Macaca fascicularis: one gene and its partners. Each later gene encodes a partner of the first gene's protein in a complex. Links are inferred from orthologs where the notes say so. Each region holds a gene or a part of one and is shown in the gene's direction. Other genes may lie near its edges.

The links.
Region 2: GTF2E2 (region 1) and GTF2H5 share a complex: the UniProt entries of both Homo sapiens proteins name them as parts of the TBP-based Pol II pre-initiation complex. The link is inferred for Macaca fascicularis from reciprocal best matches to the Homo sapiens genes GTF2E2 and GTF2H5.
Region 3: GTF2E2 (region 1) and POLR2H share a complex: the UniProt entries of both Homo sapiens proteins name them as parts of the TBP-based Pol II pre-initiation complex. The link is inferred for Macaca fascicularis from reciprocal best matches to the Homo sapiens genes GTF2E2 and POLR2H.
Region 4: GTF2E2 (region 1) and GTF2A1 share a complex: the UniProt entries of both Homo sapiens proteins name them as parts of the TBP-based Pol II pre-initiation complex. The link is inferred for Macaca fascicularis from reciprocal best matches to the Homo sapiens genes GTF2E2 and GTF2A1.
Region 5: GTF2E2 (region 1) and GTF2F2 share a complex: the UniProt entries of both Homo sapiens proteins name them as parts of the TBP-based Pol II pre-initiation complex. The link is inferred for Macaca fascicularis from reciprocal best matches to the Homo sapiens genes GTF2E2 and GTF2F2.
Region 6: GTF2E2 (region 1) and GTF2F1 share a complex: the UniProt entries of both Homo sapiens proteins name them as parts of the TBP-based Pol II pre-initiation complex. The link is inferred for Macaca fascicularis from reciprocal best matches to the Homo sapiens genes GTF2E2 and GTF2F1.
Region 7: the proteins of GTF2E2 (region 1) and GTF2E1 are in contact, whole or in part, in a crystal structure (PDB 5GPY), measured with the Homo sapiens proteins. The link is inferred for Macaca fascicularis from reciprocal best matches to the Homo sapiens genes GTF2E2 and GTF2E1. Residues at the interface, in NP_002086.1 of Homo sapiens: Asp159, Gln160, Arg161, Gly162, Leu163, Gly164, Gly165, Leu167, Leu190, Val192, Asn193, Arg194, Pro195, Ile200, Phe202, Cys208, Gln209, Phe210, Ser211, Val212, Asp213, Glu215, Phe216, Gln217, Leu219, Trp220, Arg221, Val223, Thr224, Val225; in NP_005504.2 of Homo sapiens: Arg16, Lys19, Tyr20, Val21, Arg23, Gly24, Phe25, Tyr26, Ile28, Glu29, Leu32, Arg39, Leu51, Leu52, Lys53, Phe54, Asp55, Gln58, Gly68, Asp69, Lys70, Phe71, Lys73, Thr98, Asn101, Val102, Val103, Lys104, Tyr105, Lys106.

The regions. Positions count from the first base shown.
Region 1 is NC_088382.1:33,815,381-33,818,880, reverse strand, and holds part of GTF2E2 (transcription initiation factor IIE subunit beta), read left to right. Parts: intron 1-1,203; coding exon 1,204-1,386; intron 1,387-3,500. UniProt on the Homo sapiens protein: Recruits TFIIH to the initiation complex and stimulates the RNA polymerase II C-terminal domain kinase and DNA-dependent ATPase activities of TFIIH. Both TFIIH and TFIIE are required for promoter clearance by RNA polymerase.
Region 2 is NC_088378.1:66,517,957-66,521,895, forward strand, and holds the start of GTF2H5 (general transcription factor IIH subunit 5), read left to right. Parts: upstream 1-1,139; 5' UTR 1,140-1,185; intron 1,186-2,663; 5' UTR 2,664-2,701; coding exon 2,702-2,736; intron 2,737-3,939. UniProt on the Homo sapiens protein: Component of the general transcription and DNA repair factor IIH (TFIIH) core complex, which is involved in general and transcription-coupled nucleotide excision repair (NER) of damaged DNA and, when complexed to CAK, in RNA transcription by RNA polymerase II.
Region 3 is NC_088376.1:96,289,922-96,292,041, forward strand, and holds the end of POLR2H (DNA-directed RNA polymerases I, II, and III subunit RPABC3), read left to right. Parts: intron 1-205; coding exon 206-289; intron 290-1,205; coding exon 1,206-1,323; 3' UTR 1,324-1,620; downstream 1,621-2,120. UniProt on the Homo sapiens protein: DNA-dependent RNA polymerase catalyzes the transcription of DNA into RNA using the four ribonucleoside triphosphates as substrates.
Region 4 is NC_088381.1:149,170,862-149,174,361, reverse strand, and holds part of GTF2A1 (transcription initiation factor IIA subunit 1), read left to right. Parts: intron 1-237; coding exon 238-442; intron 443-1,511; exon of another isoform or gene 1,512-1,655; intron 1,656-2,670; coding exon 2,671-2,735; intron 2,736-3,500. UniProt on the Homo sapiens protein: TFIIA is a component of the transcription machinery of RNA polymerase II and plays an important role in transcriptional activation. TFIIA in a complex with TBP mediates transcriptional activity.
Region 5 is NC_088391.1:24,364,745-24,368,914, forward strand, and holds the start of GTF2F2 (general transcription factor IIF subunit 2), read left to right. Parts: upstream 1-1,370; 5' UTR 1,371-1,513; coding exon 1,514-1,579; intron 1,580-4,170. UniProt on the Homo sapiens protein: TFIIF is a general transcription initiation factor that binds to RNA polymerase II and helps to recruit it to the initiation complex in collaboration with TFIIB.
Region 6 is NC_088393.1:7,158,781-7,161,190, reverse strand, and holds the end of GTF2F1 (general transcription factor IIF subunit 1), read left to right. Parts: intron 1-25; coding exon 26-145; intron 146-306; coding exon 307-380; intron 381-461; coding exon 462-600; intron 601-806; coding exon 807-924; intron 925-1,011; coding exon 1,012-1,216; 3' UTR 1,217-1,910; downstream 1,911-2,410. UniProt on the Homo sapiens protein: TFIIF is a general transcription initiation factor that binds to RNA polymerase II and helps to recruit it to the initiation complex in collaboration with TFIIB. It promotes transcription elongation.
Region 7 is NC_088376.1:162,458,672-162,462,712, reverse strand, and holds the start of GTF2E1 (general transcription factor IIE subunit 1), read left to right. Parts: upstream 1-1,241; 5' UTR 1,242-1,292; intron 1,293-4,041. Other genes in the region: RABL3 (rab-like protein 3), read right to left, coding at 967-1,012.

The DNA.
Region 1 (3,500 bases):
TAGGTCTTGACTTTTATAATGTAGCATGACCATTAATTAGCATAATTGTAGCTCATTGTATTAGTGATGTACAAACAATGGTAATCCACATTTAAATTTGCTGGTTTAGCTAACCTTGAGAGTTCATAGACTACCAACATATAGTTAACATGACTTTGATCATTTTACTATTCTATTCTCCCTTTTTTCTTCTTCCTGTGTTTCTTCTCTCTCTCCTTTCAGGGTCAGGCTGGCAGCTGCAGAAGAAAATATATAGGGTTGCTCTTTTTGAAGAGCTTTCCTTCTGATACTAGCTGTACAACAGAACTGACTAGAAACATAATTATATTCAGTAATTCCTGCATTCCTACTCAGTTTCATTCTCAAGCTGACATAGGTAAAGTTCTTGTATGCACTAGTCTGGTCCTTTTCAGTTCGTTACACAGCTGCCAGTGCCAGTTGATAGCAGATGGGGAAGACCATTGACTAGTACGGGTAATGTCTCTCACTTTGTAATGCCAATATGTGATAAGCTATACTTTGCAGGCGGAGTGGGCACTACTCAGTTCACTAGGTGTTTTATTGATTTCTACCCATTTTGACTTCTAGAAGAATATGGATTCAGCTTTTTTCAAAGTAGTTGTGATAAAATAGTTTATTTCTCCTCAAAGAATTTATGTAAATAAAACACAGTTTCTTTTATAAAAAGTGAACACCATGCTGATCTACTCTTCTGGAATCCTGGATGTCCAGGATGTTAGGCCTGCCAGTTTGTGTTCATAAGGTACTTTTAATTTGCCACTGTATTGGCTGGTGTTGTATTTTAAAATAATTAGTAGAATTAAGAATGTATATATGGGCTGGGCGCAGTGGCTCATGCCTATAATCCCAGAACTTTGGGAGGCCGAGGCAGGTGGATCACCTGAGGTCAGAAGTTCAAGACCAGCCTGGCCAACATGTTGAAACCCTGTCTCTACTAAAAATACAAAAATTAGCTGGGTGTGGTGGTACGCGCCTGTAGTCCCAGGTGCTGAGAGGGAGGGAGGCAGGAGAGGGAGGCTAAGGCAGGAGAATCGCTTGAACCCAGAAGGTGGAGGTTGCACTGAGCTGAGATCACGCCACTGCATTCCAGCCTGGGCAACAGAGCAAGACTCGTTTAAAAAAAAAAAAGAACGTATTTATGTTTCCATTTGTTAATATACTCCAATTGTATCACTGTTACAGGCTTTAGTCAACAATCCCAAAATTGAAGTAATAGATGGGAAGTATGCTTTCAAGCCCAAGTACAACGTGAGAGATAAGAAGGCCCTACTTAGGCTCTTAGATCAGCATGACCAGCGAGGATTAGGAGGGATTCTTTTAGAAGACATCGAAGAAGCACTGCCCAATTCCCAGAAAGCTGTCAAGGTAATCTCTCTCTTCTTTCTGTGTCTTAATGTAATTTGAATGAATAATGACTTCTTGGTTCTAGAAATATCAAACATTTTACAATTGTTTTTAAAGCTTCCATTATATACACATGGGGTTACAGTGAGCCACTTGAAGGTTTGAAATTTGTCTTGTGTCACCAAGCAGGAAAGGGAGCAGCCATCTCTGTGTAACTTTGACGGGTTCCTGTTGCTGTTGCTATATGATTGTTTGATTGTTCAGGATATTTCTGGAAAATTTTCCTCAAAGGCAGTAGAGTTTCTCTTGTAAGCTGTGTTTGTAAATAAGAGTGTCTTCTATAATAGTAGTAGATGTTCCTTACCTGAGGAACTAGAGGCATTAAAACACAAAAGTATTGATTAATAACCTGGCTATTTTGAAGTCCTAAAGGGGCTACCTATGAAAGTCCTACTGGTACAGATTACATTTCCAATTTAAATTTGAAACTCACTGGGGAAAGCTGCTTGTTTTCATTTGTCACAATTGCTAAGGATTAATGTTAACTTATCAAGCAGGTTCATTCATTTGCTATTAGAAGAAAACTTGGCCTTTTCTCTCCTCTGCTTCTTGGTAATGGAATTATACATGTCACATCTTCTGGTTTTGTACCACAAGTCCTTGAGGCTCTCTTTATTTATTTCAGTTTTTTTTTTTTCCTGTTCTGTTAATCCATTGTCAAGTTCACTCACTTTTCTTCTTCACTTCCAACTTGTTAAGCCCAGTTGGTGAATTTTTTTAGTTGTATTTTTCAGTTCTAGCCTTTCTTTTTAAATTGTTCTTCTGGTTTCTGTTTCTTTGCTGAATTTCGTTTTCTTTTTTTTTTTTTTCCATTCGTGACAGGTATCTTTTGTTACACCCTTGAGTATGATTTCTTATAGCTGTTTTAAAATTCTTATTCTAACAGCTGAGTCATCTTAGAGCTGGTCTGCAGTGACTGTCTCTTTTATGGGTCATATTTTCCTGTTTCTTCATATATCTAATACATTTCTGTGGGTCTTAGACCTTGTGAATTATATTAATACGTGTAAAGACTCAGGATTCTGTTACATTCCTCCAAAGAGTGTTTTTATTTGTTTTGTTTTGTGGTTAAGTGGGCAGTTACTCCAAACCTTGTCTACCCTACAGCAGGTAGCATATGATATGTCTCTTCTGTTCTTTTAGCCTTAGCCCTTTTGCTCGGAATCTTTTTCCATTCATGCATAGCCCAGGGTAGCTAGGCTGACTTTTTCCAAGGTTTCCTTTTTCACTTTCCAGTTGCTGTGGTTGCCCCACGCTCTGTTTCCTGGTTCTTCAATGCAGAAACACTGAGGATTAGCTAAAACACTGAGTTTTAGCTTCACAGGGCACTGACTGTGGCCTGCCCTCGGTGCTCTTTCTTTCTGAGTATAGACCCCCCCTCCCCCCCTTTTTGCCTGTTTTCTTTTGGTTGCTTTTCAGTTCCTTTAGGTAGTTGGATTTTTTTTTTTTTTTTAAATCAGAATTTCACTCTTGTTGCCCAGGCTGGAGTGCAATGGCACGATCTCAGCTCACCACAGCCTCCGTCTCCTGGGTTCTAGTGATTCTCCTGCCTCAGCCTCCTGAATAGCTGGGATTACAGGCATGCATCACCACACCCAGCTAATTTTGTTGTCAGGCTGGTCTCCAACTCCCAACCTCAGGTGATCTGCCCGCCTGAGCTTCCCAAAGTTCTGGGATTACAGGTGTGAGCTACCACGCCCGGCCTAGGTAGTTGATTTTTAAAATGTCTTGTCCAGAGTTGATAGTGTTTTCTGTGGGAGGTTGGGTCCTTTAGGAGCTACTTGGTCATTATCAGAAGCAGGGCCCTCCTAAGATTTTTAACTTAAAAGTGTCTCAGCTTAACCTGCACAAATGTTGTCAATAAAGACATGTCACCAAAGTTGATACTTTGTGTGCTGTATAGTGTGTTGAATTCAGTGGGACTACTGAATCCTAGACTAACAGTTGAGTGCTAGGTGTGTTTCCTGCATGGCTGTTTTCTCCCATTTTGGTAGGGGCTTTCCTGTTACTATATGTGGTAGGCTTTTCATTACATTTTAAACTACAACAGTGCCATAATCTGATAATGGCTTAGT
Region 2 (3,939 bases), on another chromosome or scaffold:
ACGATGTAAAAAAAAAAAAAAAAAAAACGCAGTATGAGGTCGGGCGCGGTGGCTCACACCTGTAATCCCAGCACTCTGGGAGGCTGACGGGGGCGGATCACCTGATATCAGGAATTCCGGACCAGCCTGGCCAACATGGACAAACCCCGTCTCTACTAAAAATACGAAAATCAGCCGGGCGTGGTAGCGCACGCCCGTAATCCCAGTTACTAGGGAGACTGAAGCAGGAGAACTGTTTGAACCTAGGGGACGGAGGTTGCAGTGAGCGCAGATCGCGCCACTGCACTCCGGCCTGACCGACAGACCGAGACTCCATCTCAAAAAAAAAAAAAAAAAAAAAAAAAAAGAAGGTAGAGCTTAATTCGGGAAGTACAATTTAACCTAAGGAACAGAAAACAAGAATCTCATATCTCAACTAGTAAAAATAATGAGAGTGCTCCTTTAGATTACAGAACAGATTTGGGGAAAGGGAATCACTTCAGAAGCTTCTGGGGTCTTTCACTTTTAAATGACCGTTGCCGAATTTAGAGATCTCTCAGTATTCAATCGTTTCCATCTCTGGGGTTAGAGGGGGAGCCGGAAGCGGTGGTCTGGAAGGCTCAGAAGTGACCGGTGAGGCCCTTTCCTCCTCCTCCTCATTATCTCTCCGTGACTACCGAGCCCGGGAAGAAGGACCGGTAGGTGCACTCCCCGAGGCCTCGACAGCAGCCAGAGAAAGGCAGCGACCGGGAAAGACGAGTCAGGCTCGCGACCACCAGAGAGAGGCCCTCACACCCAGGGGAGCGTCAGCGGGTCGGTCCGGTCCGCGCGCCTTACGGTGGCGCCCGGCCGTGCCCGGCCACTGCCCTCCCCATTCTCCACTCCCCACCGCGCCCAGCTGCTCCGACGCCCCCGTCCGCCCCCACACTAGCCCGGCCTTCACGTCCTACCTGCCGGCACGCAGACTCAACCTGTCCCCAACTGCTCGCCGGACCCAGTTGTCTGGGGAGCCCTCCCCTTTCCTCGGCTCCCGGCCGGGGCCTTCCACCCGGCGGCGGGCGGCTTATGACCCCGCCCCCTCGGCCCTCTCCGGGCCCGCCTACTGCCGGTTCGCTCCACTCACAACAGCGTCCCTAGCGCGATGACGTATAGGCGCAGGCGCACTGTGTCGGCGACGCCGAGGCGCTTCTGCATCTGTGGGCTGAGGTGTGTGGCAAGCGTCCGAGTGGCTGGGGAAAGTGGGGTGTGGGCAGACTGAGGGGTCCCAAAGAAAGAGGGGAAGAAGAGGAAAGCCCAAGAAGCCTGTCCACCGGGTGCTGGGGGCACAGGGCGGTGTCCCCCACTCTCTCCAGGCCCTTCCTGGCGGGGCCGCACTGCAGTTCCGCACTCGTTTAATCGTGGGTTTCCTGTGGGGCTAGGGCTCGCCCTGCGCCCAGGTGTAAGTGGAAGTTAGTTAAGTGGGCGGACGCTGAGTGATTTCTTTCCAGCCTAGGTCCGCACAGGACGTGATTTATTTAGTGAAGGGGCACAAGATCTGGAAACCTGGCTTGTACTTTTTTCCCCTTTCCCCGGGAACTACGGCTTAATCTCTTCCTTTGGTCTCCTCATCTGTAAAATGAGGTGGTTGGGGCCGGGCCCGGTGACTCACGCCTGCAATCCCAGCTCATTGGGAGGCCGAGGCGGGTGGATCACTTGAGGCCAGGAGTTCGAGACCAGCCTGGCCAACATGGTGAAACCCCGTCTCCACTAAAAATACAATAAATTGGCCGGGCACGGTGGCTCACGCCTGTAGTCCCAGCACTTTGGGAGGCCGAGGTAGGTGGATCATTTGAGATCAGGAGTTCAAGACCAGCCTGGCCAACATGGTGAAACCCCGTCTCTACTAAAAATGCAAAAATTAGCCTGGCGTGGTGGCGGGCGCCTGTAGTCCCAGCTGCTCGGAGGCTGAGGCAGGAGAATATCTTGATCTCCGGAGGCAGAGGTTGCAGTCAGCCGCCATCACGCCACTGCACTCCAGCCTGGGCGACAGAGCGAGACTCTGTCGCAAAGTATATGTGTGTGTGTGTATATATATATATACACAATACAATACAATAAATTAGCTGGGCTTGGTAGCTCTTGCCTGTAGTCCCAGCTACTCGAGAGGCTGAGGTGGGAGAATGGCTTGAACCTGGGAGGCAAGAGGTTGCAGTGAGCTGAGATCGCACCACTGCACTCCAGCCTGGGCGACAGAGCCAGCCCTGTCTCAATAAAATAAAATATAAACTAAAAGGAGGTGGTTGGGCTCACTGTGTAATTTTTGAAGCACCTTTCAGAACTATCTTTGAGTCCTGTCTCCCAGGATCTTACCCTTTGTCATTCTCCTGAATGGGAAAAGAAATCCTTTGAATAACGGACAGTTTACACCTGGGTTGGGCACACTGGTGTAGAGTTAGGCTGCTTGCTTCTATTAGGGCTAATTGACCTTGGGTAGAGTTGGTTGGCAAGTAAGATGTGGCAATATTCCAAGTAGACTCATTTTAATTTTGTTAAAAAATCAGAATGTCTCTTAATGTTAACTGTCTTTCATAGACTTAACTGTTAAATATTGACACTTAATTATTTTGCCTCATTTCAGAGGCAGTCCCCAAAGTATATGAAAGTTAATGATTTTTAATTCAGTGTTACCTTCTTCTTTTTATTAGCATTCTTGAGGTCATCTGAACCTTCTGACTAAGAAAACATGGTCAACGTCTTGAAAGGAGTGCTTATAGAATGGTTAGTAGTTTTGATACTTCATGAGTTTTAAGTTTAAATATTGAATCTTGACTTACGTGTGTGTCCTTTCTAAAACCCTGTTGTTTTTAAGATATGAATGAAATCAAGTCTTTCACTTTTAACAAGTGGCACAGATTTTGTTGCAAAGTTCCTAGTGCCAGATTTCAGTCCCTCTGTTGAATTGATGGAACTGGCATGATCAGAGGCAGCATATTTGTTAGATGAGTCATCTTTAGAGGAACAGTGCTTGCATTCTCCTCAAACATGACTAGAATTTTAGGTCCTGAAAGAGTTCAGGAACTTGCTTAAGTCTTTACCATTACAAACTGTAGACTTTAAAGAGAAAAACAAGAGAGCCAAGTGGAGAAGGTTTCTTAAATTCCTTTAGATACATTCCAGAGGAGAAACTAAAAACCATAAATGGGCAGGGTTGAGGTCCTCAAAGCAATCCAATGTCTAGGAACCCTGCTCTGTGGACACTCCCATTGTCTGAAAATACTACTGTCTACCTTTCTGTGCCTCTAATATGAGCCAGTGCATGGATAATGATACTGTTTACTGTGATGGCAAAGCTGAGGAGGAGAAGGACCAAACCCTTGGACACTGCCAACAACATAAGCTCATGCATTATGATTAGTGTATGATAGTGGTGAAGGCTGCTTTTGTCACCATCTTGGTTCTGGCTGGTTTCTTTACTGTATCCTCGCTTATCAGTCGGGTCTTCTGACCTGTTGTTTACTGTCTCTCCTGTCTTAGAAACTAGTTCTGCTGAATTCCTATCTCACAGCTGCTTCCACTGTCCCAGGAATCTCTCCAATTTGAATCTCTCCAAATTCCAGTCCCATCATTGTATTAATATAAGCTAATGTGTAATAACTTATATAGTGCTGTTCCACATATATCTTAAGTTGGCTTCACTTACTGCCATATTTAAGCTCCATTTCTATCAGTTATGTTTAACTGATTTTTAAGTCTGCAGAGATTTGCTAAAGAAGTAAACCAAATTATGATGATGGCCATTTATTCTGACCTTCAGTGAATTGAAAAATCAGGGCACTTGGATATAGTTAAATTCTTAACTCCCAAGGGCTTATCACATACTAAAATTGAAGGCTATAAAAAAAAGTTTTATGTTTATAAATTTACATTTTTATGTCAAAACTGAAAGGTTGGTGAAAACTTCCTCTTTGTTGGGATCCACCA
Region 3 (2,120 bases), on another chromosome or scaffold:
ATATTTTTAGTAGAGATGGGGTTTCACTGTGTTAGCCAGGATGGTCTCGATTTCCTGACTTCGTGATCTGCCCGCCTCAGCCTCCCAAAGTGCTGGGATTACAGGCTTGATACACCGCGCCCAGCCGACCAGTAACCATTTTTAAATGGGATTTTTTATATTGTTAATTACTGTTAAGAATAACTTTGCTGCTATTGCTCCACAGGGCTGACCAATTTGAATATGTAATGTATGGAAAAGTGTACAGGATTGAGGGAGACGAAACTTCTACTGAAGCAGCAACACGCCTGTAAGTTACATAATCTTATGAGGTTCTTTTCCCTCTCTGTGTTCTGAGACTTTGAGCTATGCTCCTGCTTCCTCTGTTGGGTCCCTCTCCTCAGGCACCTCAGACCTAGGTAGGAACTAGAAAGAAATGGTTCTGAGAGCAGTTTCCAGTCTGAAAGGTAGACTGCTCTTTGTCAGGCCCTCCTGGCCCAGCAGTCCAGATGAGAAACTGGTTATCTTACTGTGTAAAGTGCAAAGGAGACTTGCTTCTCCAGAAACAAATGCAGCATTAAGTGATTATCCTATTAGGCTGTGTGTGTGTGTGTGTGTGTGTGTGTGTGTGTGTGTGTGTGTGTGTGTGTGTTTTGCTACTCTGTAACCCAATCCCTAGTTCCTTGGTTTTCCTGTCCAGCTATTTTTTCTTTTCTTTAAAATCTTATTAAAACAATATGTGCTTTTTGTAAGCAATTTGAAATGCAGAAGAGTAATGTGAAGAAGGAAAAAAAAAAGTCACCTGTAATTCCATACCCAGAGATAACCTTTTACATAGACTTTTTTGCATATCCTGGTGTTCTGTTTTTTCCTTTGAGACTGTGGTGTTTATTATGTTTTCTTCTGCTCTTTTTGCTTAACATTATGTAAAATATGTTTCCCCATGTTAGTGTGAAGCTTTTCTTAAATGTTTTAATAGTTGCATAACATTTCAGTAAGTGGATACATCTTGATTCATTTGACCATTCCCCTGATTTGGGGCATATAGGTGTTTTCCACCTTCGCTAATATAAAGAACAGTGCCTTGCACATATCTTGATCTTTGTCAGAATTTTGGTTCCTAGTGACAAAACAGTAGAAAGATGCCTCTTCTTTTTCTTAGGCTGAGATGGAGAGCTGCTGAGTAGCAGTGCTCCAGACTCATGGGATGGGGCCTTCTGTTTCAGCTCTGCCTATGTGTCCTATGGGGGCCTGCTCATGAGGCTGCAGGGGGATGCCAACAACCTGCATGGATTCGAGGTGGATTCCAGAGTTTATCTCCTGATGAAGAAGCTAGCCTTCTGAACCTCGCCAGAAGCCAGCCTTGCTGCCTAGTCACTCAGGTCATCGGCATTGTTCAAGCCTGAGTGGCAGCCAGTCTTGCTCACCTGTTGAGGAGGGGCTGGCTCACTGTCCACTGTGGTGGCATCTTTAACTGGCCTGCACTCAAAGGGAAACTGACTCGCCTGTGAAAGACAGTGGGAAAGCTGCAAATGAATCAGAAGCTTTGTGTATATGATTTTTAAATTAAACTTTACTTTTTCAGACTGCCCCTCCCCTTTTTGTAAAAAGTTCATTTACTGTAAAATCATTTTTTTGCAATTTGTCTGTGGTGTACTGTTTCTGGCCCACAGCCAGCTGATCACTTGTCAATGTAGGATCTATTCCAGCCTTTTGGTATCTGGGTTCAGGGTTATCTCAGTCTCCTGGCTGACTGTTCTCAACATTTATCCTCCAATGCGGTTTTCCGTTTGGGAGAGAGTGTTGTACTTTTGGCTCCTGAGGGTACCCCAGGCCCAGAAGATACCACCCATTTGGCGCGGAATTTTGAATTGGCAAGGAGCCCTGCTCGGGTCCTTCCAGCACTTTCAGGCTCTTAGGAAGTCAGTTCACGCTGACTTGATTGAGTCGCTTGCATAGTCTAGAAATGTTCATTATTTTTATGGAAGATGTGCACAGAGGCTTTTAGCCTTTTAGGCATGGGAGATGACTATGAAGAGAGTAGGAGGAGAGGACTTGGTGGTTCTGGAAGCAGCTGGAGGAGCTGGCTCTCTACATTCCAGTGGGAGGGAGGGTAAGTGGAAGTGGACAGGGCAGCAATA
Region 4 (3,500 bases), on another chromosome or scaffold:
AGATAGAAAAAGAAACAAAATCTCCAGTACTCTGATGTGGCAAAAATGAGGTTTGATACTTTAAAATTTTGTTTTTGTTATTGTTTACACTTGGGTTAGAATTATAGATTTGTTGTATTTCTGTGTCTGTATCAGTTTTTAAAATGGAATAACTTTATAAAGAGATTAATAAAACTGTTGTGTTCGTCTGTCCAGAGTTATTTTTCACTTAGAAATCTTTAATGTTCTTTGCCTTAGTTATGGGAAAACAAACTAATGCAGTCCAGGGCAGTAGATGGATTTCATTCAGAAGAGCAGCAGCTTCTACTGCAAGTTCAACAGCAGCATCAACCCCAGCAGCAGCAGCATCACCACCATCACCACCATCAGCAAGCTCAGCCTCAGCAGACAGTACCTCAGCAAGCGCAGACCCAGCAGGTCCTTATTCCTGCATCACAGCAAGGTGAGACTGGATTTGTTTTCCTACTTATGACTTGGAATTAAGTTTGTCGTCATGAAAGAAGAGAAATATTCTACATTTCTTGGATCTTGTCTTTTAAGGGGCGCATGGAGAACCTAAAAATAAACAAACAAAAACCCCTATGTTGATTTTGGGCTTTTTTTCCACTTTCTCTTGGCTGAGGGGTGTGGGTGTATGTAAATGTATATAAATTTGTATAAAACGTAGGTTGTATCTGTAGAGTAATGGTAGACAAGTAATTTACTAATTGAAAGCCTAAGTTGTATTACTATTTAGTTTTGAAAAGGCTATGTAGTGATGGATTTCCTGAAATAAGTTAAACCTAAAAGGTTTATTTACTAAGGACTTTATTATTTTATATGGTAAAATAGTTATTTGCTTTCTCTATGAAACATGTTCTTTCAGAGACATGTTTCAGATTAGTTTTTAAAATATATCTTAAATTCTAGAGTTTTTTGTATACTTTGGCAATCTGAAAATTCAGTTCCATAGTAATTTATGTAAGCCTAAACGGACTGAATTAGATTTATTATAAGTTAAGCGTGGATATATAACATATCTTAATTTATATTTCTTGGATTAAAGCTAAGAAAAAGCAAATATTCGTAGACTGTGTCCATAGTGCTTTGTACTCTGCAAGTCATTTTATAGATACTGTTTCATTGGCACCTTATAAGGGCTTTGTAAAATAGCCCTTGGCTCAGTTTCACAGCTGAGGAAAATCTGAGCCCAGAAAACGCTAAGAAACTTGATCTGTATTTTCTCTCATGACACACGTCTATTCAGTTATAAAACTTTCTGAGCATTCTAATTCAGTGCATCTGCTTTTATGGGAGAGGACACTAGAAGTAGATGAAAAGTTCATTTTAATGTAATCATTTAGTTACTTATTTGCCTCATTTGACAGTATATATATGTGTCTCAAAATTGGTAATGATACACAGTAGAAGAGTCTATTTGGGTTATTTTACTGTTGACGTCTAGTGGTAGTTTTCATACCTAATTTTAGTGTATACTTTGTATCAAATAATTTTATCCCTTTATTATTTTTTGATGACTGTTCTTCCTGTTGCCTTCAGACCTGGCATTAGGATTTTAGGTCATCATAAATTAAAATTTGATTTTCTTCACTCAGAGAATATTAGGATAATGGAGTTATCCGTCTGTTCTCTGAAATTTGCGGAATCAAACATTTAATTCCTTTTATGCTTAAGTAACATTGCCATTATTTCTGATTTGTATTTTTTCCAACTTGGGCCCGTTCACCACTCTTCAGGCAACCTGGTGGTCCTCTGCTTTCAGGAGGCCACCATATTGATGCCGAACTTAGTTGGACACCCAATCAGCATAGCGCACTATAGCCCAAAACTCCTGGGCTCAAGCGATCCTCCCACCTCAGCCTTCTGAGTTGCTGGGACTACAGGCATGCATCCCTGCATCCGGCTGATTTGTATTTTTTAAACAGCCGATGAAAGTAGCATGAGTCTGTCAACTTTCATGTTGGAAGAAAAGGACTATGTAGGTTTCAAAAACTAGTCACAATTTTTTGAGCTTACTTTTATTGGATTAGTAACTCATTGCAACAGTGGTATCATTGTATCAGTAAAACAAAATTATGAGTTGAGTTAAGACAAAATTATGTTTGAAAATATCCAGTTTACTTAGGAATGCATAGAACTGTGTATGTGTGTATGTTTAGGTGTTAAGTAACTCACTACTTCATGTTCCTAAATGCCCTTGCATCCTTAGGAATTGTCACTTAAAAAATTTTTTTTTTTTTTGAGATGGAGCTTGTCACCCATGCTGGAGTGCAGTGGCATGATCTCGGCTCACTGCAACCTCCAGTTCCCGAGTTCAAGTGATTCTCATGCCTCAGCCTGACACCCAGCTAATTTTTTTGTATTTTTAGTAGAGACGGAGTTTCACCATGATATTGGCCAGTCTGGTCTCGAACTCCTGACCTCAAGTGATCCGCCCGCTTTGGCCTCCCAAAGCTTAAATATTTGTGTTTTCTAGTATAGGGTGGGTATATCACAGCTGTTATTTGCCGTATAAATTTATACTGTCCTGAGAGCAAATGATTGAAAGCATTTGAGTGCAGAAAACATGGAAAACATGAAAAAAGTTTTCATCATTGTATGTAAAATGTTCTTGTGATCAGAAAATAGCCTCATGGTTCCTTGTTTACATGTGTACTTGTTTTTTTGTAGCCACAGCACCACAAGTTATTGTTCCAGATTCTAAGTTGATACAGCATATGAATGCATCAAACATGGTAAGACTCAGAATGTAGCAGTTTGATTGGCTGTACTTAATTCTAACTCAAATTGTGATTATGCCTATATATGTCATATATTAACAACTTGAAGTTTATTGAAGACTCAGGCAGAACAGCTATTTTAGTTTAGTTTCCTGAATATTGGATCTGAAGTTTAGCTTGGTACCTAGACATTAAGGTTCATAAAATTATGGAATTGTTTAAGAATACTAAAAGAATGGTGCTTTGTGAGAGTTACTCCATTCCCTACTATGTCCGAAAAAGTTTATAATGCCAAACTTATAATGCCAAGTATGGTTCTGTTTCAGGAGACCTGGTAATTGCAAGAAGTTGGGAAGGCTAAGAATTGTTAACTTTTAAAAAATGAAGATGAACTGTTTGGATAGTTCAGTATAACTATTTTTAAAATCAAGCATTTAAAAATATTGCTTTGACTTAACCATAGTATAGTCTAATAAGTCATTATAGTGTGTAAATTACCAAAGAATACATTTTAACCAGTTGAGTTACATTAGAAGTTTTATATTTCTGAGGACTATCCACTAAACTTTACAAGTCCTCACTCATTTTCAAATTACATTTCAGACATATAATATTTCTCAACAAATATAGTATAGTTTAACTGTGAACTTGAAAGAACCTCTTCAGATCCTTAGAAAATCTTTACCTATATGCTTGAAGTTGTTTTCTTTTTTTTTTTTTTTTTTTTTTTGGATAAAACATTAAAATACAGTCAGAGTAGTTCAACACTTCCTTATAAAT
Region 5 (4,170 bases), on another chromosome or scaffold:
TCCCACCTCAGCCTCCCAAAGGTGGGGTTACAGGGTCCAGCCACTGAAACTTTCATTTTCGACACACTCCAGGTCTCTTCCCATCTTTCCTGTTAATTTTGCTAGCTAATCGCAGAGTTCTGACAGCTTTTCCTGGCCCTGTGCTGAACACACATAAAATTTCCTCAATTTTGTGCAAGGCTCTGATGTGTGATTCAATACATTACTTGCCCTTCTTAACAATACCTTACTGTTTGTTTCTCTTCAGCGAATGTTCTTTCACCCAAAGCCTGCTGAAACCTGACAATGTGTCAAACACTGTGCTATACATTGTGGATATAACATGAATAAAGCACTATTTTTTATTTGTAAATTATACCTCAATAAAGCTCTTTCTGCCTAGGAGGAGTTCGTTGTCTGGAAAGCAAAGGCAGATATGTAAACATATGTATTATAGTGCAGAGTGCTAAGTATCACACTGTGATGTGAAGAAAAACTAATTTCTTCTGGGGAAGTTGATAAAAGATCTCATAAGAAGTGACATTTCCATTGGTCTTGAACCATAAGTAGGAGTTTGCCAACCAGAGGAAAGAGTGGGAGTGAGGGCAGGGGTAAAAGAGGGCTTCCAAGGAAGGGAATCCAGTGTGCAGAGGCTCTGAAATGACCGAGGAAGATTCTGACGTGTTCCGGGAAGTCTGCTGGGTTTGGTGTGGTTCGGTGCATGGTGGAGTAATGGTGGGAGGGGAAAACGGATGAAATTAAGAGGGCCCAGTTGAAGCAGGAGGATTGAATTTTATTCTAGAGGCAAGAAGAGAAAGAGAAAACTTTAAGCAGGGGAGGAAACGATCAGTTTTGTCTCTTACTTGTTCGTTTCGTCACAGACCTTCGGGTTTTGGAATATGAGGTGCTCTGCTTGCTTAATCAGAGGAGCTCGGGCAGCCTCTGAGCTGAAACACGGCTTTCTTTTCAGGTCTAGAAACGGCATGTTTTCAATATACCCAGGGCTACCAAGTCTGATCCCAGTGCCCACTTGTGCTAATGACGTTGGCCAGGGGGGATGCCAATTTACTAACCTAAGCCTGTCCTTCAAATATTCTTTCTCTCTCTTTGGCTAGGGTTGGACACGTTCTGACAACTTTTGTCTCTTTGAACCCCGTTTTTCCGTTCTGATAATCTTTTTCTTCAGTTATGCTGGCCATGTCTTTAAATACGTTGCTAACGTTTTGGCTCATCTTACCCTATGTTTTAATCCCTCAGATACACACTACGCTGACAGCCACGCCCACCCAAGGAATTTCCGAAACAGAAAGTTTGTCTGCAACAGCGCGCCGTACGGACGTACAGTGCGCAGGCGCAGTCTGGCTACCGGCGGCGTGTTCCTCTTTCCCCCCGGTTTCCAGTGTCCTGGCAGGTAAGGAACGCCGCCTCTTCACCTCTCAGCGCGGCTTGCCCTTTGTTCCGGACGCCCACTTCTCAGCCCTCCGGCTCCTGGTGTCGCTGCTGTAGGCCACACGCGTCCACCGGCAACAGACCCATGGCCGAGCGCGGGGAACTCGACCTGACCGGCGCCAAACAGAACACAGGAGTGTGGCTAGTCAAGGTAATGTTCACGAGTCTCCCACTTGCGCTCCTCCTAACACAAGTATAATTTAAGTAACTTGAGCCCATCCCGCTCCGTGCACCTCTTAAAGTTCTTTTACGGCTATCTCGTTAGAGCTTCACATATTTTGAGAGGCATGAGTCATTGTTGTATCTGTTTGCAGATGAGGAGATTAGTTTAGGGACGCAAAGTGTCTTTCAGCCGGTTACTGGTCTGAATCAGCCTGGACTAGATCTCTTTCTCACGGCTTTCCTGGAGCCCTGTCTTGGTGTTCCTAGACTTGGGCGGTGCATTTTATCCCAGACCGAAGAATTACTTGTATCTTTCCCTTGGTGAAACTGGTTTTAGCCATGAGCCTGTGTGAGGTAGTTGAATGTCTGCTTTCTGTACAGTTTTTTCGGCGAGAAACTAGAACTGGTCCCTGCGTACTCTTAAAGTATTCTCTTAGGTAAATGGTCCTTAATGAAGCTCTCAAAAGAGGCGAGAGAGCCCTGAACAAACAGAAGGAGAGGTCAGGAGAGGTCATTGGACTGGAGTATTCTTTCAGAGCACATTTGGGTCTGATGAAACTGGCCGTCAATAAATGTTTTATGTAAAGACAGCAATTTTGGTTGGCTCACAGCGGGCACTATTTGTGCTTTACTGTTTCATATTGGGGAGTGTTTTCTCCTAGGGGAGTTTCATAATACTTAAGCAAATTCAAAATGTGATCCTGAAAGTCGTTGAGACTTAAAATGTAAGGACTTTCGGTTTCTTAATGCTTTAACTGATTTATCATATGGCTGAGTTCTCGTCAATTAAATCTAAGAGGTCTTTCTTGTCGGCCTTCTTAAAAATGGCTCCCTTATGATCATTTGCTAACACGACAGATCCGTATTACATTCTTTCTTTTCTTTTTTTCTTTTTTTTTTTTTTGAATCAGAGTCTTGCTCTGTCGCCCAATCTGGAGTGCAGTAGTGCGATCTTGGCTCACTGCAAGCTCCGCCTCCCAGGTTCACGCCATTCTCCTCTCTCAGCCTCCCGAATAACTGGGACTACAGGCACTCGCCCCCACGCCCGGCTAATTTTTTGTATTTTTAGTAGAAACAGGGTTTCACCGTGTTAGCCAGGATGGTCTCGATCTCCTGACCTCGTGATCCGCACGCCTTGGCCTCCCAAAGTGCTGGGATTACAGGCGTGAGCCACCGCGCCTGGCCGTTACATTCTTCAAAGCACTTTTCACAGTGTAGAGTGATTTTGTGTTAATATGTTCAAAGTTGGTTACCTCCGTCTTTCCAACACACAAAATCACATTCCATGAGATTGGATCTTTGCCTGTCATACCCAGAATAGTGTTTGGCACATGGTAATTACTCAACAAAAAGGTGATGAATAAATGCATGACCTCTCATTCTTTAACCCTCGCCTTAATCTGTGGCACTGATTTGACTTATTTCCAAGCTCAGTGTGACTTAAAAGGATGAATTAAATAGGCATTTCTCTCTCCAGCAGCGTGTTAACTGGAGGAGAGTCACTAAGGAGGAGATGGCCCTTGCAGACTGAAGGAAAAAGCTTGAAAAAATGGTGTGACTTGAGATGGTGCCATTGTTCTAGGAGCATGGTAAATGCTCAGTGTTTACGCCTTACAGGATTTGGGTGGGTGGACATAGCGTATACCATGGGGAATGGAACAGAAATGCAAGACTCAGAATACATAATCAGCATGGTGTGTCGTGGAAAACAGAGAGAACCTAGAGCAGAAGATCTGTGTAGATAAAGGTTGGGACCATATACTCAGATTGTCATATCATGAAACGGAGATGTTCTAACTTTAGTTTACAAGGAAGTAACAAACTTTTTGGAGGATTTGAGTGAGGGAGAGATGCCAAATATTTATTCAGAAAAAAAAAAGTTTGGCAGTGTGCAGTACGAATTAGAGGGGAGGGTAAGTAACCAGAGTCACATTTAGAAAATCATCACAGGATTGGGCCGGGCACGGTGGCTCACACCTGTAATCCCAACACTTTGAGAGGCCGAGACAGGTGGATCATGAGGTCAATAGTTTGAGACTAGCCTGGCCAGTATGGTGAAATCCCATCTCTACTAAAAATACCAAAATTAGCCGGTTGTGGTGGCATGCGCCTGTATTCCCAGCTACTCAGGAGACTAAGGCAGAAGAATTGCTTGAAACTGGGAGGCGGAGGTTGCAGTGAGCTGAGATTGCTCCGTTGCACTCCAGCCTGGGCAACAGAACAAAAACTCCATCTCAGAAAAAAAAAAAAAAAGAAGTAGTAACTTGTTGCTTAGAAAGTGTGTCTTCATTCTCATCTCATCAGAATTTTATTTGAACTACGTATTGATTTCAAGTTTTTTCTCCTTACATTAATATTTTCTGTTAAAAATAATACCTTGAGTTCTGATCTTTGTTGCTGAAAAATGTTTCTTCCTAGGATATATCAAGGTCATCTTGTACATATTTAATTCCATCACCAGTTACAGAACTGTGTAAATGCAGTAAGGACTGTACATACAAGATCTCTTAGAGTTTTGAGCAGGAAAAAAATTAATGCTTCACCAGAACTGGAAAGACATCATAGAGAAGGTGATGTTTA
Region 6 (2,410 bases), on another chromosome or scaffold:
TCTTGCTCATACCCTGTCCCCCCAGGTGTTGATGAGCAGAGTGACAGTAGCGAGGAGAGTGAGGAGGAGAAGCCACCCGAGGAGGACAAGGAGGAGGAGGAGGAGAAGAAGGCGCCCACCCCGCAGGAGAAGAAGCGCAGGAAAGGTGCGGCCGGTGTGGCCCATGTTGGAGGCTCGGGTCAGGGCCTGGTGCTCTGCTGCCTCCTCCCCTCTCCCCTGCAGGCCTCCCTCATCTGCAGTGGAGGTACCGGTGGATGCCGGGTCCCAGGGTTGCTCTGGCCCTGACCCCTTTCCTGTGCCCCGCAGACAGCAGCGAGGAGTCGGACAGCTCAGAGGAGAGCGACATTGACAGCGAGGCCTCCTCGGCCCTCTTCATGGCGGTAAGGCCCAGCCCGGTGACAGGGGAGGCCTGGGCGTCTGTTTCCAGACTCACACCCCTCACCCCACCCTGACCTCCGCAGAAGAAGAAGACGCCACCCAAGAGAGAGCGGAAGCCGTCGGGAGGGAGCTCGAGGGGCAACAGCCGCCCAGGCACGCCCAGCGCAGAGGGCGGCAGCACCTCCTCCACCCTGCGGGCGGCTGCCAGCAAGCTCGAGCAAGGTGAGCGCCTGTGGCCTCCCCACTCCCACAGCCACGGCCTCCCGACCTCTGTTGGGGCTTAAGACAGAGAGGAGATGGAGATGGGGGTGGAGGCCTGTCTGTCCCCAATCCCCCTGAACCCTCATCCTGGCACTGCCCAGCCTGGGGTCCTGCTCAGGGATTCGGCCTCCTGCCCCCAAGACTCAGCCCTGACCCCACTCCCACAGGGAAGCGGGTGAGCGAGATGCCTGCAGCCAAGCGGTTGCGGCTGGACGCGGGGCCCCAGAGCCTGTCCGGGAAGTCGACCCCCCAGCCGCCATCGGGCAAGTCAACACCCAGTAGCGGGTAAGCTGATGAGGACGGCAGGGGGCAGGGCAAGCGCTACCGGGGACAAGCTCACTGATGCCACCTTCCCCGCCCTCCCATCCTCAGCGACGTGCAGGTGACTGAGGATGCCGTGCGCCGCTACCTGACACGGAAGCCCATGACCACTAAGGACCTGCTGAAAAAGTTCCAGACCAAGAAGACAGGGCTGAGCAGCGAGCAGACGGTGAACGTGCTGGCCCAGATCCTCAAGCGCCTCAACCCCGAGCGCAAGATGGTCAACGACAAAATGCACTTCTCCCTCAAGGAGTGAGGCGCCGTCCGGCACACGGCCCTGCCCCCGAACTCAGCCTCTCACTGCCCCTTCGCCATCCTAGAGTGAGGCGCTGTCCGGCACACAGCCCTGCCCCCAGAACTCAGGCTCTCACTGCCCCTTCACTATCCTGCTCCCTGACTCCCAGGGCCCCATAGTTAGCAATTCTGGAAAGGTTAAGCCATCTCCTCCTCTGGCTCCTCCTGGAATCTTCAGATGCCTGTTAGACCTTCTTACTGTCCTCCTTCTCCTGGCTCAGCCTCCCTCACACTGACCAAGGGCCCGTGCTCCCCACTTCCACAGTTCTCCCTTCCACTCCCCTAGTTCTCTCTATAGCCATGACTTGTCCACCGCACAGCCCAGGAAGTCTTCAGTTTGGGCTGGGTGTGATGATACGCGCCTGCAGTCCCCGCTACCTGGGATTCTTAGCCCGGTTCAAGGCTGCAGTGAACTTTGATGGTGCCGCTGCACTCCAGCCCGGGTGACAGAATGAGATCCTGGCACACACACACACGAAAAAGTAGCCAGACATAGTGGCAGGCACCTGTGATCCCAGCTACTCTGTAGGCTGAAGCACGAGAATCACTTGAACCTGGGAGGTGGAGGTTGCTGTGAGCCGAGACCACGCCACTGCACTCCAACCTGGATAACAGAGTGAGACTCTGTCTCAGTAAATAAAAAAATAAATTGCTGAGATTTGTTTCCTTTTTAGATCTGCTATTCTGCTAGGGATAAATGTCTTGTTCCTTATGTTTTGGTCCCAACTTTCATGGTTTTATTTTTATTTTTTAGTTTTTGAGACAGGGTCTTGCTCTGTTGCCCAGGCTGGACTGCAGTGTCCACTGTCTCAGCTCCCTGCACCCTCCACCTCCCGGGCTTAAGCCATCCTCCCCGCTTAGCCTTTCAAGTAGTGCACACCACCACGCCCAGCTAAGTTTTTAATTTTTTGTAGAGGTGAGGTCTCACTGTATTGCCCTGGCGAGCCTTGAACTCATGGCTCAGCCAGGCATGTACGATTATGCCTGGCTAATGTGTTTTTGTTTTGTTTTGTTTGAGACAGAGTTTCACTCTTGTTGCTCAGGCTGGAGTACATGGTGCAATCTCGGCTTACCACAACCTCCAGTTCCCTGGCTCATGCAATTCTGCCTCAGCCTCCCGAGTAGCTGGGATTACAGGCACCCGCCACCACGCCCG
Region 7 (4,041 bases), on another chromosome or scaffold:
TAGGCCAACTCCAGAAGAGCACATCTATAAAATGCAAGTTCAGCATTTATTGAAGTTACTAAGGAGAGATGAACTGGGGATTATGGAAGAAAAGATAAGGGCAGTGAGGTGGGAGCTGGAAATCCAGAAGTCAGCTGTAGTTCTCAAATGTCCCAGGGGTCAAAATAATTTTTCTTTGCATCCATTGAGATAAAAAAAAAAAAAAAAGAATTTTAACACTAGGATTAAATTCGGCTCAGCGTTAAATCCTAGCTGCTTCAGAATAAAACTCTTACTTTAATTTCTCTATCGTACAGTCTAGGACATAATAGGTTTTCAATGAAGATCAAACGAGAACCAGGAAGTCAAGAAGCTCAGTTAAGAATAAAACAGGACCACCACCCAATATGTCACTGCGTATTTATAACTTAGCGTTTAAGTTTGTGGACTCTGCGTTCAAAAGGATTCTGCCACTCACATCTCTCTGCCTCACTACTCTCATCCGTAAAATGTGATCATAGGACTAATCTCAGAATTAAATGAGTTAATGTATGAGAAGCGCTTGCCAGTTCACGTTTGTCAGTGCACGTTTGACTTCCTTAATGAACAAAATCTCTTGAAGGCACGGTCCTACTAACTTCTGTACCCTTAACACAGAACTCCATACAATACTCAATGCCTGCCTTTTTTTTTTTTTTTTCCAAATAAAATAACTGACAATACACTCTAGGCTGCAGTCTTCTGGGAGACTGATGTGGAAAGCCGCGAAGGAAAAAGACCCGGGCTCCGCGACCCCCACCCGCGCGACGCCGCCGCCGCCGCGTCGTCACACGGAGCAAAGTCCCCTGGGAAGTGTAGTCTTCAGGACTTCGGAGGGACTTCAGCCACGGGCCGAAGAGCCAGGGAGTTGAGGGAAGGAAGGTAAGGGGAGGGTTACTGGGTAACTCAAAAGTGTCTGGAGCCCCAGAGGTGGGGTAAGACGCTCACCTGAGTCTCCCAACACCAGTACCTTCACCCGATCCAGGGACGCCATCTTGCCACTGCCTTCCTTGGGTTAACGCCTGTTCCGGGATTGTAAGCCAATCAGAGTTGGGCATGGAGGGCAGAGCTTTCAATTTCATTGGCCGCTCGGAGCGTGACTGTCTGAATCGAAGGCTTCACTGAGCTGATTGGCTGGTCTGGTAGCGGGGTGTTTCCCCAGCTGGTCTCAGGAATAGTGCGTTTTCTTTGTCGCGTAAGAGGCGTGGCTCATTTAAGCCGGTAGTTGAAGAGCTGAGGGCAGCTGTAGTGGGAGTGTTCCAGGATTCGCTTTGGTAAACCTTGTTCCCTGTTCCTTGTTCGGAGTTCCCTGGCCGGGCATTGCATTTCATGATTTCTTCTTCCTTTCGCTCCCTCTTAACTGTCCTCCCCTATTGAATTACCCTCTTGCCTTGGTCCTCTTGGTTCTCCAAAGAACCATTGACCCCGGAACGGCCCGTGTGGGACCTCGGGTAGGGCGGGCTTGGGTGCGCCGAGTGTGGCCCTAGACCCAACTGGGAGAGTCCGAGGGAGTTTGGGGTCTCGGGGTCTCGCAGTGGGGAGGAGTGCATATCACCGAACGCGTCTCGTGGAGGGCAGCTGGGTCCGGAGGTTTCGCAGTAGTTTGCCGCTATGTGTTCAGTGAAGGCGTGGAAAGTGCCATGAAATGTGGTACCAGAACACCGCAGTTAGATGTGTAGAATCCCAGGTTGTTCTAGAACTGGCGTAGTGGTGTACTGAAGTAATCTAACTGGACTCTTCGCATCCAGCTTTTTTCTCCATTCTGCAGTCAGCGCACACTTTTAACATCGTGAATTTGATCCACTCACCTCCAGCTTAAAACTGTTTTAAATTTAAGAAGAGAGTGCCCAATAGCCTGTCCAATTCTACCGTGGAAGCAAGAGTGGAGGAAGTGAAGCGGGGGGAAGCTGGCAAAATGAGCCGTGTTGGAACAACACGTGTCTAGGACACATATGGAAAGTTTTATGGAAGTACTTGTCTGGCTGTGCTAGATACTGGAAATTAATTGGTGAACAAAATGAAGTCTGGTCTTAGAGATAGACATGGAGAAAGTACAAGAAGGGAGAAAGAGCCATGGAACATGTGAGAGGGGATGATTGTACGCTACCTAATGGGGAGTCTGGGAAGGCCTCTATGAGGAAACGTCATTTGAGACTTGAAGGATGATTAGGAGAAGGGGGTTGGCTTAGTTGTAGGGGCAGAAGGAACAGCATGTGCAAAGCTCTGGTAAGCACGGAAAGCACATGTGGCTTATGGAATTGAGAATATGCTAGTGTGGCTGGATATGAGGCTGACAGAGTAGACAGAGGGCAGAGGGTGCATTCTTTTCAACTTTGTTTCTCTAGCTCCGTGCCTGGTGCACAATAGTCCTTAAATGTTTATATGATTAAAATACACGTGTCTGGACTGGGGTAGGGAGGTGAGGCTGGGATATGACTCATGGACTATGAAGATCAAAGGAAGAAACAAAAGGTCCTAGGAGGTACCACACTCAGAAGTCTCCAGAGACCAGCCATACTCCTTCCCTAATAATGCCAGCTGCTATTCGTCTTCAGCTTATTGTTTCCATGTGGGACCATGGGCTCACTTTTTCCTCAGATATTTCCAATTTTTCAGGAGGAGCTGGAAGTTGAAATTTATGTGAACTCTTACAATTTTTAAATGTTGACAACTAATTCAGAAAATTTTTGAAACATTTCTTTGGGTGAAACAATGCGTTGGGGGGCTGCCAGTTTGAGAATTCTTACCTAAGACCTCTAGAGATTGAGTAAGGAGATTCAGTGTGAGTGGGTAGTGGTGGAGGAGAGAAGTTAGTGGTCAGGAAGGAGGATTTTAGAATGCACAGATTTTGAACAAGGTGGCACAGCTTCATTTCATTCCTAAGCTCTAGTTTCATTTGTTCAGCTACCTGCTGGGCATATTCAGAGGAATATCCTATGGTATTTCCTCAGAGACACTTCTAAAAATGATTTCCTCATTTCTTCCATATCTGCTCCTCTTCAAGTGTCACCTATTTCTCATGGCAGTACTTTTCCTAGCTACACTGGCTCAAAACAGAGCTATTTAAGATTTTTCCTACTCTCATATTCTGTATCCAATATATTTTGTTGGGTCCTTGTTATTTTTTTTTCTGTAATAACTTTCATTCATTCTGTTCTCTTCTTGCAATTTTTTGCCTTCTTCCGTAGTTTGATTTTATACACCCAGTACTTCCACATTGCCTCCACCTTCACCCATTTGAGTCCATTCTTCATATTGGTATAAGAGTCGTTTTTCTAAATAGGGGATTTATTATGAATGCCAGTACTTAATTGAACTCTCATGCCAGCCCTGAAAGCAGAACACTTTGCATTAATTATCTCACTGAGTTCATACATTAACTGTGTGAGCAGGGGACCGTTAATCACTTTTTTTTTTTTTTTTTTGAGGGTCATGTCCTGTCACCTAGGCTAGAGTGCAGTGGCTCAATCATGGCTCATTGCAGCCTTGACCTCCTGGCTCAGTTGATCCACCTCAGCTGGTACTACAGGTGCACAGCACCATACCTGGCTAAGTTTTAAAATTTTTATAGAGGTGGGGTCTTACTGTGTTTCCTAGGCTGGTCTTCAACTTCTGGACTCTAGCAGTCCCCCCATCTCGGCCTCCCAAGGTGTTACAATTACAGGTATTAGCCACTGCACCTGGCCTAATCACTTTTTATATATAAGGAAACTGAGTCTGAGAATTTTCTGGGGTCAGGGGGGCTAAGAAATACTGGAACTGGGATTTAAACCCCAAAACTGTTGGATTGTAAAGTCTTCACATCACTCCCTGACTTTAGTCTTCACAGCTCCCTAGGGTGTTTTAGGCAAAGGAAACAGGCTGAGCGATTAGTGGCACAGGGACCTCTCCATGCAGGATGAGCATTGGCAGGATATATAGTAGGTACTTTCGCTGTATAGTAGAGCCACCTAAAGAGCTTTAAAAATTTGTGTGATGCCAAATCTGGCCACCCCGAACCACCTGAGACAAAACCTTTAGGAA